2 linked regions of the Arabidopsis thaliana genome follow. The protein of the gene in region 1 interacts with the protein of each later gene in a pairwise test. Each region holds a gene or a part of one and is shown on either strand. Other genes may lie near its edges. The genes, in order: IDH1 and AT3G05250.

Region 1 (4,866 bases):
TACCAATACTGGGACTACCTCAAATACTGTAACCACTCTGATGGCTGAAAATGCTAGCGCGATCTTGAAGAGAGCTCGTAGCGAAGTGAGACTTCATACCATGAATCAGGATGAAACAAAGTCCCTCTCTAGAACCCTGAGCCACAAAACATTCAGTGAGCATCCTCTTTTCGAAAATCCACCTCGGTTACCGGAGAATAGTAGCAGGAAGTTGAAAGCTGGAGGGGCCTCAAAAGTGAAAGCCACATTTGGTGAAGCCAAAGTACGGTTTACTTTGCTTCCTACTTGGGGCTTCAGAGAGTTGCAGCATGAGATTGCTAGGCGTTTTAACATAGATAATATTGCACCCTTTGATCTTAAGTACCTGGATGATGACAAGGAATGGGTTCTTCTGACATGTGAAGCGGATCTCGAGGAATGTATCGACATTTATAGATCATCACAGAGCCGCACGATCAAGATAAGTGTTCATGAAGCTTCTCAAGTCAAGCTGGGAGGTTCTTTTGGTAGCATCGGTCTTGGTCCCTCGTTATAAGCTATCAGGTATAAGGTTGTTACCTGCAAGAAAAGAAAAGAAAAGAGCAGGAGATTCGACTAATTTACTAGTGTGTTAGAAAAATATTACTCACCATTTTATAGCAATGGGCATCGTTTGTAAACATATTTTCAGTGCCCCCATTTTGCAAGCAGCAGTAGTGGACTGGTTTCCTGCATCGGCTTAGCAGATTTTTTGTATAATAAGGCGATGCGTACCAGAGAAACATGCTTATATGTATGTATTATTATTGTCTGTACATCATTTGTCTTCTGGATTCTACTAAGCTCTGCAAGTATGTTAAATTGATATATCTTCTACATCGTCACTTGTATTTATTTTCTTACTTAACTATGCATGAAATTCTTAAGGGTGCTTTTTGGGGCATCAAAGCTTACTGTGTACAAACATTACAGTCAATAAGGAGTTAGTATTCAGAAAGAAACAAGAAAAAACATTATGCCAGTTTGAAAGTAAGAAAAGGCTAGACGTTTTACTTATATAGGCAATGATAGTCATATAAACACAGAAGCTATTTTTGGCAGAAAAAGTAGAGAAGAAAGTGTATACTTGGATGGTGAGGACACATGATATTTATAGAGATTCTCTTGGTTTTTAAGCAGGAATATGTGTTCAAGAGAGAGAACCACCTAGTGGAGTGATCTTCCAAGTTCCTAACCAGAGTATCTCTGTTAAATCCTCAAATCAGTATTTGTTAAAGAAACAAGTAAGCCTGCAGACAAAAGGTTCTCGTTTTGGTTTGTTTTTGTTTCTTTCTGATTCAGTGAGTGACACAAAGGAAGATATTGATCCTGAACCTATCATTGCCACCTAAACTTCAGAGACAGGAGAAAACAACATGGAAAACAAAAAACCTATGTCAAGAGAATCAGACCAAGTGTACCTGATTGTACCATTTGGTACTAAAAATCAGGATGACGAAGGAGTTGATTCACGTGACTATGCTTCGAATCTCTTAACATTGCCAATCTCCGTGTTTCTAAGACTTCTTTCACCAAAGCCTTGATGAAATTCGAGGGTGCAAGTTATGATTTTGCAAATAATGTAGTACTCTGCATGATCAATGATTTTGCGGCAATTTTGTAAATATCTGAAGTGAAAAATAAGCAAATGTCAAACTAAATTAATTACTGAGTAAATGTTGATGAAGTTAAATGATTGGGGGGATTTGTATAAATATCTTAATTGACGATTCTGAAACAAAGTGGTCTAATCGGTGATTATCTATTGTTTTATGGAAATATCTTAATGAGATGAAGATTTTGGGGCGAATTGTGTAAATAACTAAATTTTAACAATAAACGCTTTTCGTCCGCCTCCAGCTCCCAAAAGCCAAAGGGCGAATCTTCTTCTTCTCTTTCGATCAAATCTTTTCAGATTCAACCCAAAATTGAAGACAAAAATGTCTCGCAGATCGCTAACTCTCCTCAAGAATCTAGCTAGAAACGCGAATGGATCAGGTATTCAAACCCGATCCGTGACTTACATGCCCAGACCCGGTGACGGAGCACCACGCGCAGTGACGCTGATCCCCGGAGATGGAATCGGTCCTCTGGTGACGAACGCCGTGGAACAGGTGATGGAAGCGATGCACGCTCCGATCTTCTTCGAGAAGTACGATGTTCACGGAGAAATGAGCCGTGTGCCGCCGGAAGTGATGGAGTCGATAAGGAAGAATAAGGTTTGTTTGAAAGGTGGGCTTAAGACTCCTGTTGGTGGTGGTGTTAGTTCTCTTAACGTCCAGCTTAGGAAAGAGCTTGACCTCTTTGCTTCTCTGGTCAACTGTTTTAATTTGCCTGGTTTACCTACTCGCCATGAGAATGTTGACATCGTTGTCATCAGAGAGAACACTGAAGGTGAGTACGCGGGGCTTGAGCACGAGGTTGTTCCTGGTGTCGTTGAGAGTCTGAAGGTGAGAATTCCGATTTCTGCTCCTCGTTTTGGATTCAATCTGTATTTGTGGAATCATCTTCGTTTGCAAGTGGTCTTTGTATGTTATGTGTGATTGTTCTGATCCTATTTCTATGCTTAGGTGATCACGAAGTTCTGTTCGGAGCGTATTGCAAAGTATGCTTTTGAGTATGCCTACCTGAACAACAGGAAGAAAGTTACAGCGGTGCATAAGGCTAACATCATGAAACTTGCGGATGGTTTGTTCTTGGAATCTTGTCGCGAGGTTGCGAAAAAGTATCCCAGCATCACCTACAATGAAATCATTGTTGATAACTGCTGTATGCAACTTGTAGCCAAACCAGAGCAATTCGATGTCATGGTATGTTTCAGAGTTATATACATATGAATTTTCATGACGTTCTTTAAGTCTTCGATGTTTTACTTTGAGAAAAAGATACCAGTCATCTCTCCCTAGTTTGGTATCCCTCTAGATTGCCTGTTTTAGAGTCATATTATCTTATTGGTATGAGACTGATGTTGTGTTGCCATATACTATAGTTAATCGCCCCATTTGCATACTATTTAATCTCGTCATTTGCATATCATGCTTTCAGGGAATCTTTTAAATTGTACTTCTGTGACCTTGTCTATGTATACTTACTACTTTGCATACACTATTGTTCGTTAGAGCAGTAACTTCACTGTTGCTAAGTATTAACCTTTCATTACTGTATGTAGTAGCGTCTTTTGGCTTTTCCCCCCTTTTATAACAGCAATTTATGAAATGTTTTGCAGGTAACGCCGAATCTCTATGGGAATTTAGTTGCAAACACTGCTGCTGGTATTGCTGGAGGCACAGGAGTCATGCCTGGAGGTAAAAAAACATCCTGTATTGATATTCTCTCGAGCTATACATTAGTGGATAAAGAATAGTTCTAAAATTTATACATCTGCGACATTAAATACAAAAACAGGAAATGTTGGGGCTGACCATGCGGTATTCGAGCAAGGTGCATCAGCAGGAAATGTTGGGAAAGACAAGATAGTATTGGAAAACAAAGCAAACCCAGTGGCATTGCTTCTCTCATCAGCGATGATGCTTAGACACCTTCAGTTTCCTTCATTTGCTGACCGGCTCGAAACAGCAGTGAAGAAAGTCATCGCTGAAGGAAAGTGCCGGACGAAAGATCTTGGTGGAACAAGCACGACTCAAGAGGTCGTTGATGCGGTCATTGCAAAACTAGACTGACTTTGACAAATTACGTGTTCCCGCTCTGCATAAATCATCAAATTCCTGATACAGATTTTGTGTTGCCAAAATATGGGGTATGATCCAAGCACAACGGTTATCTGGTTTTGTACCTCGAGTTTTATTATATTCTTTAGCCGTGGAATATTTCGATAAGAAAAAAAAACATGTTCCAAATAATTCATGTTGCTACGTTTGTTGGCGCCTTTTGTCATGTCAAAGTTTCTTAAACACTTGTTCGTGGAATATGCAAACTTTTATGGATTCGTAATTTCAAGAATATGAATGAAAAATTGATGGTATCTTTGATCACCTCGAATGGTGGTTTCTTAAGAGCATCCACATTGGTTAATTTTTGATGGATGTTTTTAAATATAAAACTTTATTTTAAGAGGTTTTTGAGTAGTTAAGAAACTCTAACGTGTCATTGTGTGTGTGGTTGAACATTGTGACAACATCATTTATTTATTTTTCTTTTCGCGTTTTTCTCTCTTTTTTAGTCCATATGATTTTTAATATATATATCATATTTGTTTAAAATTTTAATATTTGTATTATTTATTAAGTTTTATAAAATAAAATATAAATAATTTTTATTTTAATAATAATATATTTTTTTAAAAGACCCACTTAAACATTAGACCAAAAAAAATTAATGGTCCAACAAAAACACTTTAATTTTTTATAATTTAAAATTTTAAAAAACCCTTTTAAGGGCTCAACCATTGGGGTTGCTCTTACTCCAAGTCTTTAATTTAATTTGTGAATTAACATTGACTAATTTTAAAATCACTTGAAATTGTTTCATCGGATTTGGGATGTCACATTTGGTACCCGGCAAGTTCGAAAATGACTTTTAAACTTTGACACCTCTTGCCTCTTGGTAGAGTTTTGGATGAGGCTTGAAACTTTTGTATTGCAGCCCATAACTGAAAATAGTTTATTAGTATAATATATCTTCTCAACAAACATTGCAAATATTTTGAAAATCCAGCTAAAACTATACCCGATCAGAATTAGAAAATTTGAGCCCAAGCCCGGCCCGTAAGTATTATTATAGAAACCGATATAAAGTTTCCTTTTTCTTAATAATATTTATTCCGTGGCAGCAAATGCAAGCCAATCCAATGTCAAAACACCAGCTGACGTGGCCAAACGCACATCAACT
Region 2 (4,739 bases), on another chromosome or scaffold:
TATTCTTTTTAGTGATCTTAATTAGTTGTTAATGAGGTGAAAATCACGACCTCTTAATTTAAAATAAGGTTTATAACGAGGTCAAGTAGGACCCTGAATTAGAACATTGTTTCAACAGAACTATGACCTAAAACTTTATCTACCCTTTTGCTCTTCATGGATTCTCTAATTAGCTTAACATCAGCCCATCGGCCAGCTTTGGCGTATATATTAGATAGAAGAACATAGATTCCGCTACCAAGTTCTTCTGGCTCAGCAACCATGGATCTTATCCGATCAGTGAGCTCGAGATTTTCATGTATATCACAACCATTTAACAATGCACCCCATATATTAACATTGGGTTTTACCGGCATAGTCTTTACCAATCTCTCTGCCTCTTCAAAACGACCAGCACGGCTCAAGATATCAACCATACATCCATAGTGTTCAACTGTTGGTTCTAAGCCGTGAAGATCTCTCATTTCTGCAAAGTATCTCTGTCCTTCCTCAACTAAACCTATGTGGCTACACGCATATAAGACCCCGAGATATGTGATTCCATCAGGTGTAGCATTACCTTTCTCTTGCATCCTCTGGAATATACTCAATGCTTCATTCCCGTGGCCGTGACTGGCTAACCCAATGATCACAACGGTCCAAGCTATTGTATCTTTCTTCTCCAGATCTTCAAACGCTTTTTTTGCGCTCTCAGCATCACCGGTTTTAGCATACATATTTACAAGTGCACAAACTATGGCAGCATCCTTCACAAAGCCGGTTTTCGATACATAAGCGTGAATCGATTGTCCCAATTGTGAACATCCTTGGATCATGGAAGCTCTGATAACACTCAAAAAGGTTACTTTATCAGGAGCTATACCCAAATCAAGCATATCCAAAAACATACACAGTGCTTCCTCTGCATCACCGTTCTGACTATACCCTGTAATGATGGAGTTCCAAGAAACCAAGGTTCTCTCAGGCATTCCATCGAACAGATACCTCGCAGTTCTCAGATCTCCACATTTAGCATACATATCAATGAGACTTGTAGCCAAAATCACATTGAATCCAACTTTGGACTGAAAATATGGATCAAAGCCTAATCCTTGAAGAAACCCATGAAACCATTTCCCAGTCACAATGTCTTTACATCTACCACAAGCAACCAAAAGATCCACCATTATTGTCTCATTTGCCTTCACACCATTACTCTGCATCTCCCTAAACGCCTCAATAGCGTCACTAAACCGATTGTTATTCACAAAACCAGAAATCAAACTTCCCCAAGCAACAACGTTCCACTGAGGAATATCCTCAAAAACTCTCAAACCATAATTCACTTCTCCACAACACATATACATATGAAGCAAGCAAGTAGAAACATACATATTCACTTCAAACCCAGTTTTCACAACAAACCCATGAACACAACTCCCGAATTGAATATCCCTTAACCCAGAACAAGCCTTAAGAACATAAGGAAAAGTGAAATAATCCGGAGAATAACCTTTTCGAAGCATTTCTTGGTAAAAGATCAATGCTTTATCTGGATTTGGACTGTTTGAGTAGCCTCTGATCATAGAGTTCCATATATAAACACTTGGACAATCGATACTTTCGAAAACTGATCTCGCGTAGCTGAGATTCATAGTCTCAGGACAAGTAGTGCAGAAATCTATGAGTCGGCTTAGAGGAATGACGTTTCTGATAACTGAGGATTTGATCATTAAACCATGGAGTTGATTCAGTTCCACCAATGATCTGCAATTCTCTAGCTGAGAGAGAATTGGTTTGTAGTGCTTCTTCATCATATTCTTTGATTATCATGAAATTCAAAGGCAATGTTTTTTTTTAATTCTGGAACCATAACAAACAAAAACTCATCAAAGTGACGGGTAAATTTTGGTAATTTAAAATAGTTTGGGTTTATTTTGAATGTTGAAAGAGTTTAAGGATTATTTTGAAAGTTTCAACAAAAGAAAAATATAACCTGTGTTTAGTCACAACGACGCCGTAACGCTGAATCAGCGCCAAGCGGAGAGAGACCTGAGTCAGTGAGTTGGTATGGCGGCGAAGGAGATCGCCGGCGGGAGCGGTTCTATTGACGATGGATCCGATTTTGATCCATGTCCTATTTGCCTTGGACAATTCCTCCGTGAATCCTACCTTGATACCTGTTTCCGTACGCTTCTTCTCTTTTTCAGTTTTCTGTTAAAACTTGTGGTTAGATGCTTCTTGATTTCATCTAGAATTTGAAGTTTTGAGTGTGTATTCAAAGATTCAATCTTTTTTTTCTGTGAACAATTTAATCAGATTGATTAGTTAATTCCAAAAAGAGATTAGATTGATTAGCTCTTGTGTATCTTAGATAGACCATAGTAGGTTTATGGTTAAGGTAATGACTGAGACCTTCGTCCATGAACTGATTAGAACATATATGTTTGTTTTGATTTTATGTTTTGTTGCAGACAAGTTTTGTTTCAATTGTATAAAACAATGGATCAAAGTTGTTTCAAGCAAGGCCTCTAAGCAACGTTCCTCAGTGACATGTCCTCTCTGTAAGGTCTGCTTCTTGGAAACGCTCTTTTCTGCTCACAACACCTTGAAGAACTTGTTTACAGGAATGACCATAACTTATGCAGACAGAGAATTTATCCATCATCCACAACTACGATGGATGTTCTTTTGAGCGGCATTATATCGACCCGAATATTCCAGATGGGTAGGTTAGCTTGTGGTTTCCTTGATTTGAATATATATGTGTTCTGAGAATTTCGTGATATCTTACTCTACTTTCATCTTCTTGTTTTCAGTTTTGTATTAACAAAAGAACAGAGATACAGGTTGCAGTGTTACTACACCGAATCAGGTTTTTCCCTTCTCTGCACTTACTTTGAGATCAAAACACACTTGCGCATAATATTCAATACCATTACAATAGTTGGGAATCCGTTACTCGATTTAGTTTGGAATAATAAACTGATAGAAAGTAGATTCAAATGTGTTTATCAATCAAGAATGAAAGTTTTACAAGAATTCCCTTCTCTTTCTCGGTCTCTTTGTGGTCTTAACCAGGTTTCCTCGCCGATGTATTCGATGTTGCACGGTTTTGGAAGCTGCAAAAGTTTCTCCAGCCGAACCGGTGCCTTGAAGCCTGGTTGAGGAGGGAGCTTCAAGCTCTGATGCAGGTTTGCTTCTGTACAAAATCCCTTTCATGGATATTTCTGCCTTTTTGCTGTTATCTTCTTGTTCAGTTGTTCGCAAAGATGATTTTGTTCTTTGTTTGCTTCAATTTTTTCCCTTGTCTATAGGAGGAAGATGTTGATATTGTTCTGCATCATTTGGTCGGTGTGATGGAATCCTTCTGCAAAAGGTAATTGTTTTAAGGAGAATGTAAAAACTTAGAACTCGTGGGTATATATTTTGATTGGCTAGAGTTTTAACTGGTCAAAGTAGAAGTTTGATGTTTTGCTCATGAATAGTCTCTATTTCTCTCATATTCAGAATCAAACAGAGACGCAAACAAGAAACAAGAAGCGCAGAGACAACAAATCAAGAACAATTCAAAGCAGTTGTCTCAGAAGCAGCACGTCCATTTGTAATGGCGAGAACAGACCGATTTGTGGATGAACTTGAACTCTTTCTGGCCGCGGGACTAAACTTGGAGGCTTATGATGCAATCTATAAGCAGGGTTTAGAGGGGAACAACCGAAGAGAGATCGGTGCAGCTAGTGAAGAAAGAGAAGAAGTGGAAGAACATAATGTAAGAACACGAGTGACTCCTTATTTGTTTATCTTCGAGGAAGACTCAGACTGAGACAAAACACTTATCACTTCTGTACCATATAAAGAAACTCATAACTTCGATTAATGATATACCAGTTTCGATTTGTTTGTTTTACTTTGTGTAATGCTAACGAAACCAACCATACCATTTTATTCTGTTCTCTTTTGTTTTCTTCATATTATTCTTCTTTTAAAAAAACGACAAAACAACATATCACCTTATTACATCACACGACTATACTACTGGATATACTCTCTTTGTAAGAACTTCCTAAACAGAGTCATGTACATAAGCACTTATTGCAAGCTCAAGCGTTCACGATAAGACCACCTGCACAAAAACACGTTTGTGTTATAATAGACGAAAACAGAGATCAATTTGTTAAACCAAAGAAACAGAGGACTCTGATGGAATGCCCAATCCGGTCTAACCACGTCAAATTAGAACTTACCGTTTGGATGGAGGATTTGGCCGGTGTAGTAAGATGAGCAATGGTTACAAGCCAAGAAAACGTAGGAAGGAGCCACTTCCACAGGCTGAGCCGCTCTTTTCATCGGTGTCTCTGACCCAAACTGTTTGATCGCTTCTTCAGAGAACGATGCGGGTATCAGTGGAGTCCAGACCGGACCAGGAGCGACACCGTTCACACGAATGCCCTTTGGTGCAAGCTGAAGAGCTAACCCACGTGTGAAAGAAACGATGGCTCCTTTCGTAGCTGTGTACTCTAGTAAGCTTGAGTTTCCTGCGTATGCAACAACCGACGTCGTATTGATGATGCTGCTCCCTTCCTTCATGTGCTTTAACGCATATCTACAATAAATTACGACCAATTAACTCTAACCGGATCAATTAGTTTCAGAACCTAAGTTCGAGTTTCAGTTTTTTTTTTTTACTCACTTAACCAAGAAAAACTGCGAGAAGATGTTGGTACGGAACACTCTCTCAAGCCTAGCCTCATCGATATCCT

The links.
Region 2: the proteins of IDH1 (region 1) and AT3G05250 interact in a two-hybrid assay, tested with the Arabidopsis thaliana proteins (one large-scale study listed by BioGRID).

What each region holds. Positions count from the first base shown.
Region 1 is NC_003075.7:16,773,326-16,778,191, reverse strand, and holds IDH1 (isocitrate dehydrogenase 1), read left to right. Parts: upstream 1-1,820; 5' UTR 1,821-1,958; coding exon 1,959-2,468; intron 2,469-2,588; coding exon 2,589-2,828; intron 2,829-3,244; coding exon 3,245-3,323; intron 3,324-3,423; coding exon 3,424-3,698; 3' UTR 3,699-4,050; downstream 4,051-4,866. Other genes in the region: AT4G35270 (Plant regulator RWP-RK family protein), read left to right, coding at 1-535. UniProt on the Arabidopsis thaliana protein: Performs an essential role in the oxidative function of the citric acid cycle.
Region 2 is NC_003074.8:1,493,586-1,498,324, forward strand, and holds AT3G05250 (RING/U-box superfamily protein), read left to right. Parts: upstream 1-1,986; 5' UTR 1,987-2,049; coding exon 2,050-2,167; intron 2,168-2,453; coding exon 2,454-2,548; exon of another isoform or gene 2,549-2,621; coding exon of another isoform or gene 2,622-2,627; coding exon 2,628-2,707; intron 2,708-2,798; coding exon 2,799-2,854; intron 2,855-3,060; coding exon 3,061-3,173; intron 3,174-3,296; coding exon 3,297-3,358; intron 3,359-3,489; coding exon 3,490-3,802; 3' UTR 3,803-3,938; downstream 3,939-4,739. Other genes in the region: MEF19 (mitochondrial editing factor 19), read right to left, coding at 99-1,796; AT3G05260 (NAD(P)-binding Rossmann-fold superfamily protein), read right to left, coding at 4,080-4,102, 4,224-4,582, 4,670-4,739.